Linked DNA regions of Alligator mississippiensis. The protein of the gene in region 2 interacts with the protein of the main gene of each other region in a pairwise test. Links are inferred from orthologs where the notes say so. Each region holds a gene or a part of one and is shown on either strand. Other genes may lie near its edges.

Evidence for each region.
Region 1: the proteins of BPTF (region 2) and MAZ interact in a two-hybrid assay, tested with the Homo sapiens proteins (2 studies listed by BioGRID). The link is inferred for Alligator mississippiensis from reciprocal best matches to the Homo sapiens genes BPTF and MAZ.

The regions. Positions count from the first base shown.
Region 1 is NC_081830.1:247,575-251,472, reverse strand, and holds the start of MAZ (myc-associated zinc finger protein), read right to left. Parts: upstream 2,304-3,898; 5' UTR 1,005-2,303; coding exon 969-1,004; intron 759-968; coding exon 672-758; intron 250-671; coding exon 1-249. UniProt on the Homo sapiens protein: Transcriptional regulator, potentially with dual roles in transcription initiation and termination.
Region 2 is NC_081831.1:6,198,409-6,202,306, reverse strand, and holds the start of BPTF (nucleosome-remodeling factor subunit BPTF), read right to left. Parts: upstream 2,768-3,898; 5' UTR 2,555-2,767; coding exon 1,948-2,554; intron 1-1,947. UniProt on the Homo sapiens protein: Regulatory subunit of the ATP-dependent NURF-1 and NURF-5 ISWI chromatin remodeling complexes, which form ordered nucleosome arrays on chromatin and facilitate access to DNA during DNA-templated processes such as DNA replication, transcription, and repair.

The DNA.
Region 1 (3,898 bases), on a different chromosome or scaffold from region 2:
GGCAGGCGGGGCGGGCGGCTCCGGGGCGGGTGGGGCTGGGGGCGGGGCCTTGAGGGCGGCGGTGTCGACGGTGGAGGCGGCGGTGGGGGCCGGGGCGGGGGTCTGGGCTGCGGCGGCGGCAGCGGCGGCAGCTACGGCAGCAGCGGCGGCGGCTGACTCCTGGGCGGCCGCCAGCACCGGCAGCAGGTCAACCTGCAGCCCCTCAGGTGGCCCCGAGGGTGGGGGCGGGGGTGGCGCTGCGGCCGCCGCCTGTGGGGGAGGGGACACGGTCAGGCCCCGCCCCTTGCTGGAGGCCCCGCCCCCTGTGTTCTGGGGGGTCACCCCATGACAGAGGGGGGCATCTCATCTCAGGGACCCCCTTGGCACGCGGCTGCTCCCGCCACGCGGGCTGGCGGCCTTGGGGCACGTGGGGCCGCGCGGGCGGGGGCAATGTGCAGCCTGGCTTGGGCCTGGCCGGCAGGGGCTCCCCGCTTCCAGGGGCTCGAGGGCCCAGCCCGCAGGGGCGGCCCGGCGGCGGCAGGGCGCCAGGCGGGGGCGGGGGCGGCCCCTGTCGGCCGCGCACAAGAGCTGCCAGACCCTGCGGGCCCGGGAGGGAGGCCAGGGCGGCCCCGAGCCGGCGGGGGGCAGGAGGCCCCGGGGCCGGGCCGGGCCGGGCCGGGCGCAGGACGTACCTGGAAGGGGCTCTGCGCGCAGCCGGGCGCGGCGAAGAAGCGGGACTGCAGGTCGGCGCCCACGGGCAGCGGGTTCTGCGCGTGGCTCTGCGGGCGGCACGGGAGACACGACACGACACGACACGCGGGGCGTTAACCCTGGTCCCTACCGAGGGCGCGGGGGGCGGTGACGCGGCGGTGACGCGGGGGGCGGGGCGGCGCGGCGCGCGGCCGGGGGGGGCGCGGGGCTCCCGGCGGGGGGGGCGGGGCGGCCCCCCCGGGGCGCGGCGGGCGGGGGGGGCCGGGCCGCGCCGTTACCTGGAAGATGAAGCTGCTCCAGTTGCCGGGGTCCATGTCGGTGGGGGGGGGGCCCGGCCGGGCCCGCGGGCGGCGGGCGGGGCGGGGAGCGCGCGGCGCGGGCGGGGGGAGGCGGAGGGAGCGCGCGGAGCGGGCGGGCGGGAGCAGGCGGGTGGCGGCGCGAGGGCGGTCGCGGCGCCGGCGCTGATTGGCTGGCACGGCACCGCGCCCGGGGGGAGAGAGGCCGCCGGGTGGTGCGGCGCCCTCATTGGCCGGCACCTCCCCCCCACGTGGGCCGCGCACTCATTGGCCGCCGGCCCCGCCCGCTCCTAACGGTCGCGGCCCCCCCACCCTCCCTCACAAAATGGCCGCCGAGGCGCTCCGGCCCACTGCCGCCCCGGCCGCCAGGGCTGGGCGCTACCACCCGCCCGGCCCCACCCGCGGGACTTGGTACAGGCCGGGCCCGCCTTGCAGGGGCGGTGGCTGTGCGCGGCAAGGGCGGCGCTGCGATGCGCCGAGCCACGAAAATGGCGCCGGGCCTCCTTCCCCCCCCCTCCCGCGCCCAGGGGCGGGCCCGCGCCTGCGCACTAGTCGGGCCGCCGCAACGCATGGTGGGAAGAGCGGCGAGACGCCGGCTGTGGAGAGGAGTCGCATAGGAACGTTCTCGCCCTGGCGCGGGCCCACCTGCTCCCTGCGGGCTCCCGCGGGCCCCTCAGCCCGACCGCCCGCGCCCGACCGCCCGCAGGCGTCCGGCTGCCAGGGTCGCTCCTCGTCGTCCCTGGCCGCGCTACGCTCAACCCCAGCGGCCGCAGCCTAGCTCTCGCCCAGCCGCCCGCGCTGCCTCGCGCCTCTTTGTATTTGGCGCGTGGCCCGCCCGCCGGCCAATCAGGGGCGCCGGCCAGGGGGCGCGTGCGCGGCGGGGGACCCCGCCAGGACCCGAGAGTCGACTGCGCATGCGTGTTGGCAGGGTCTGAAAGGGGAGCAGGAAACGTTATCTGGATGCAGCGCCTGCGTGCTAGCGCGCAATTCTCGCCCCTCCCTCCTTTCCCCCAAAGGAGGGGGTGGGGGGGGGTGTGCTTACTTCCATTCCGCATGCGCTGTGAGCTTACGCGCCCGTTATCGAGCCTTGGCTACGGTCACTTTCTGCGCATGCGCTCCGGCCTGCCTCCGCAAGCTTCCCGGCGCACTGAGAGGCGCATGCGCAGTGTAGAAAGCGGGCCTCCTATGGACCTGGCTGTGTGCGCATGAGCGCTGCGCCCTGGGGATCCCGCCTGTTGCTATGGCGACGCGCCTCGGGCCTGTCCCCTGAAGGGGGAGCCTCACTGAGTATTCACGGAGGGCGGGATAATGAGATGCAGATGTATTCCTCGCGCGGGGCGGGGGGGGGGGAGGTCGTGAATGTGTCAAGCGCCTCGCTGGGGGTGTCGTTTGAATATATGGAAATGAGGCCCCGCGAGGTCACAAGGCACTAACTCCTTTCCGGGCGAGCCCCGGTCGCCTCATGCAAATGTATGCAGATGAGGGGCCCGCCCGGACCCCCGATGAGCCAGGTACCGCGGTGCAGACGTGCGGAGGCGGCTGCCCCGGGAGATGCAGGACTCCGCCGGCGGCCCGGCCCGTGCCCAGGCCCGGCGCTAGGGGCGGAGGCTGGGCCTGGCGGGTAATGAGATGCAAATGTATTCATCGCCCGGGCGGGCCGACACCACCTCGGCGGGACGCGGGCCCGGGGGTGCTGCAGCATGGTAATGAGATGCAAATGTATGCCAGGCAGCCCGGGGGTCGCCCAATGAGGCGCAGGCTGCAGCCCAGTATTCAAATGAGAGGCGGAGAGGGCGGGGGGGCGGCTGGCGGCCAATCGCAGCCCGGCAGGGCCCACCAGCCTGAGGTCCGCGCTCATGAATATTCATGTGGTGTCCGCGCAGCCAGGGGGCGGGGGCAGTTTGGGGCCGGGGGTCGCGGGGTCAGGGGTCAGGGCTGGTGTGTGTGGGGGTGGGGCGCTGGAGGGGCTGGTGCGGGGGTGCGGCTCGGCCGGGATGCCCGGGGCTGGGTGGCGATCCCGGGCTGGGCTGGGGCAGCGCGGGGAGGGTGAGCTCCACCCGGCCGAGGGCACTGCGAGTCTCGGAGGGGCTGGGCGCCGGGGCGGGCTCGGACCAGCAGTGAGGGCCGGGCCGGGCCGGGCGGCGGCCTGAGGGTGACGCGCTGCCCCGCAGATGCTGCTGCTGCTGCTGGCGGGGGGGGCGCTGTTCCCGGGCCTCTTCGTGCTGCTGCGCTGGGGCCTGGCGCGCGCCCCGCCGCTGCGCCTGCCCCCGCTGCACGCCACCTACCTCGCCGCCAAGTAAGCGCACGCCAGGCCCGGGGCGCGGGGCGGGGGGCGGGGGGCGGCCAGGGCTCCTCAGCCCGGCCGGGCATTTCGGCAGCCCGGGCACCTGGGTCCGCGGCGGGACGGGGGTAGGACCCTGGGCAGCCACGGGGCGGCGCCCCCCGAGGTGACTCCAGGGTGACTCGGGCTGGGGGGGCACCGTGTGGCGGGGATTAGCCGTGAGCGGATTCCCACGCTGCCCTGGGGCGGCGGGGGGGCACCCCTGACCTTGACCTCCCCGGGGCATTGTGGGACACCCCAGATACCCCCTGCCCCAGTGGTGCTGCTCGCTCCCGCCCCCCACCGCCACCCCGAGCGGTGCCCCGCACTCCCGACCCGCAGCCCCCCCGCGACGCCCTTGCCCCGCCCCCTGCGTGACGCCGCAGCCCCGCCCATGCCCGCGGCCCGCTCGCTCGGTGGCGCCGGGTGCGAGCGGCCGCAGCCCGCCATGCGCGGCGCCCCCCGCCGGCCCGGGCCGCCGCGCCGCTGAGCGGGCCTGGCGGCCATGCCGCGGGCGCTGGCGGCCGGGGGCCTGCTCTTCCCGGGGCTCTTCCTGCTGGCGCGGGCCGGGCTGCGGCGCCTGCCGGGGCTG
Region 2 (3,898 bases):
AGCCACATAAGTGGGATGTGATTTTAAGTATCCAGATTTGGCTAGTGAGAAGGGTTTGTTCTACACACTTGGTCTGCAAGGCACAGGTTAGCAACACTCATTTTTCTCACCACTATTCTGGCAAAGTGCTTCAACTGCAAATAGGAAACCCAACCTACAAGGTGGAGATGGCTCACATGCCACACCAAAATTATTTTCAGGATTTGGATAAAACCAATCTGCCATCTCGAAGCAGTACTGCTTGTGACACAGGTAGGTATCTGTTTAGCAGGAACTGGACACACTTGTAGCTAACCAAGCTGAAAATTTGTAGTGTCATTTGCAAAAGACATTTTCTTCACTTGCCTCTTTTCTGAAGGTAACGATTTTTTTTTTAATTTTTTTTTTTTTAAAGAAAAAAGAAAGAAACAACTGTTAAAGTAACTTAACAAAAAGCCTTCCAGCATGCAGCTGAACTAATAGCAGACAAGTTACAAGACAGACAGAAGTTCTTGCCACTGCTTGGCCACTCTGTTATAAAGGGCTGCTCAGGCTGTAAAAATTTCAGATTACTAAAGGTTAACATGGTAACTGAAATTTTAACATGATTAAATAAAAACATATTTATAGGAGTTTTTATCAAACATACTAATTTAACATAGGCACTTAAATGCCACCAACGTAACTTGAATAAATACTTGTCCTTTGTCAAAACACCTAACCCACCTAACTCAAGCACTTCTCCCCATCCCAATCCCTAAACTTCATATTTTCTTAGGTCCATGCGGTTTTTTCCCCTAACCCTAGCCAGTGAAGTCAGGGCAAAAATACTTCCCTAGACCAAAGAGAAGAGATTGGTTTCTCCCTATTACCTACCATAACTAAAGAAAAGAGCAGCTTACAGCGGTAGTGGCATCTAACTTGACGCCAGTTCCTCTTTAAAGCAAGAACTACGGGAAGGAAATCAAACTGATCACAGTACTATTCCTGCAACAGGTGAACTACAATGCTTCCTGCAACAGACTATAAACCCTTTGTGATCACATTTTTTACCCAATTCACAATAAAAAAAAAACACACCAAAAAGCAAAACCATAATTCGTACAAAACTACACAGAATTAAAAATAAAAATTGATTGGTGGTGTTTTTTTTTTTTATAAGTTTAGTGAAGCCACGTGATGGCATCTGTTGCCTGCACCCACTAAACCCACCAGGAATTAAAACAAACAGTGCGTTTTAGTAACCTGTGCCTCCTTCCCCAAACGCTCCACAAAGCGTATACGGTGTCATACATTCACAGAAGCGGCCAATCTCCCCACTACACCTCGCTGGCAAATTGGTCGAATGCTACCGTACCCGTTTCTGCTGCCCGTGTCCCAACCGGCTCACTAAAACGCACAGCTGGATCGGCGCTGAACCCAAGTGCTGCGAGCTAGAGCTGCGAACCGAAACCCCCTCAACTGACAAAACCCAATCGAGCGAGAGTTCAAGTTTCAAGCACGCGAGGGTCTTATCGAGGTCCGCAGCAGGGGTAAAAAAACAAAACAAAACCCTCATGTTTTAAATGAAAGCAGTAGCAACTCCAAGCACCCAAAAAAAGCTCTGAGGGTTATAAAAAAAAAAAAACCCTAATTTTTTTAATGAAAGCATTGTCATGTCCAAGTAGTGGAAGAGGCTCCCACAAACACGCCGCGCTTTTACAAGCCTGGTCCCGGCTTTGCGGCGGCCTCACCTGGGGAAGTTAGGGGGCGAGTTTCGCGCAGGGGCCCCCTCCCCAAAGTGCGGCGAGGCAACCTCCATCTTGGACAATACTTGGGCAGGGGATGGAGGGGAGCGAAGGGGCCGGAGCCGGGAGAGGATGCTCCGCCCGCACCTGTGCCCTGCCTCCAGCCCCCGCGATTTGCATGTCTCCCCCCCCCCGGCGGGCGGCGAGGAGCGGGACCCTCCCTCGTCCCCGTCCCCGCTACCTGGGGTGCTGCTGTAGGTGCTGTGGCTCCTGAAGCTGCTCTCGGTGCAGTAGCTGGCATCGTCCTCGTCCTCCATCTCCTCAGGGTAGTCGGAGTCGTCGTCGTCCTCGTCCTCGTCCTCCTCCATGATCTCCTCCTCGTCGCCGTCGTCCTCGGACCCCGGGTGCTCCTCGGGGTCGCCCTCCTCCTCGTCCTCCTCGGACCCCGCGCTCTCCTCCTCCTCCTCCTCGCTCTCGTGGTCATCGTACACCACTTTGCTGGCGCTCCTGCGGGACGAGGCAGCCCGGCCTCCTCCGCCGCCGCCTCCTCCTCCTCCTCCCGCCGCCGCCTGCGCCGCCGCCCTGCCCCTGCCCCGGCTCGGGGGGCCGCCGCCGCCTGCGCCGCCGCCCGCCTTCCTCTTGCTGCCCCCGCGGGGGCACGGAGAGGCCTGGGCCGCCCCCCTCGGCCTGGGCGCCGCCGCCGCCGCCTCCGCCTGGGCCGCGGCCGCCCACCGGCCCCGGCTGCTGCCGCGCTGCCGCGAGCGCAGCCCGCCGATGGGGCCGGCCGGAGCCGGGGAGCTCGCCTGAGCCTGCTGCTGCTTGGGCGGCCTGCCGCGCCGGCCCCGCATCGCTGGGCGCTGGCCGAGGGGGGAAGGGAAGGCGAGGCAAGGGCGGGGCGGGGCGGCGGGCGCCCCGGCGGGCGGGCGCGGGGCAGTGGCCCCCACCCCCGCGAGGGCTGCGGGCCGGGGAGAGCGGCGGCCGCCGGGCGGCGCGGGCCGCACGGGCTCAATCCGAATCGCCGGCGCCCCGCTCCGGATCGCCGCCGGCCGCCATCTTGTTCCTTCGTCTCTGCCTCGGCTCGCTCCGCTCTGACTGGGCGGCAGCAGGCCCCGAGCGCCCCACGTGACCGCCGCCGCCCGCCCGCCCCGCCCCGCGCCGCCAGGGGGCGCCGCCGCCGCGCGGGCCCGGACACAGCGCCGCCCCCCGCGCTCACCTGGGCCCTGGGGCAGCGGGGAAGGGGCGGCTGCCCCGCGCGCGCGGGGGGGCGAGGGGGTCTCTGCTGCTGCTGCGAGCGGCGCCGGGTCATTGAAGGGCGACATCCAGCTGCAGCATCCGGCAGACCTGGGCCACTCTCTCCTTCTGGACACTTTATTAAAGTGCAACATCCAGCTGCAGCATCAGACCGGGCCACTCTCCCCTTCTGGGCACGCTGCACACCTCCCCATTGCAGGGCACTGTCCAGCTACAGCAGCAGACCTAGGCCGCTCTCCCCTTTTGAACAGGTTGAACAGCACTTCCTTCAAGTGCAACATCCAGCTGTAGCGTCACACAGACCTAGGCCACGCTCCTTCTGGACGGGCGAGCACCACTTTATTAAAATGCAACATCCAGCTGCAGCATCAGACCTAGGCCACGCTCCTTTTGGAAAGGTTGAACAGCACTTTATCCAGCTGTAGCATCACACAGACCTAGGCCACGCTCCCTTTGGACAGGCTGAGCAGCACTTTATTAAAATGCAACATCCAGCTGTTGCATCAGACCCAGGTCACTCCATTTATTAAACTCCAACATCCAGCTGCAGCATCAGACTGGGCCACTCTCCTGGACAGGCTGAACACCTCCCCATTACAGTGCAGTGTCCAGCTGCAGCATCAGACCTAGGTCACTCTCCTCTTTTGAACAGGTTGAACAGCAATTCATTAAAGTGCAACATCCAGCTGTAGCATCAGACAGACCTAGGCCACTTTCCCTCTGGACAGGCTGAGCACCGCTTTATTAAAATGCAACATCCAGCTGTAGCATCAGACAGACCTAGGCCACTTTCCCTCTGGATAGGCTGAGCACTGCTTTATTAAAATGCAACATCCAGCTGTAGCATCAGACAGACCTAGGCCACTTTCCCTCTGGACAGGCTGAGCACCGCTTTATTAAAATGCAACATCCAGCTGTAGCATCAGACCCAGGTCACTCAA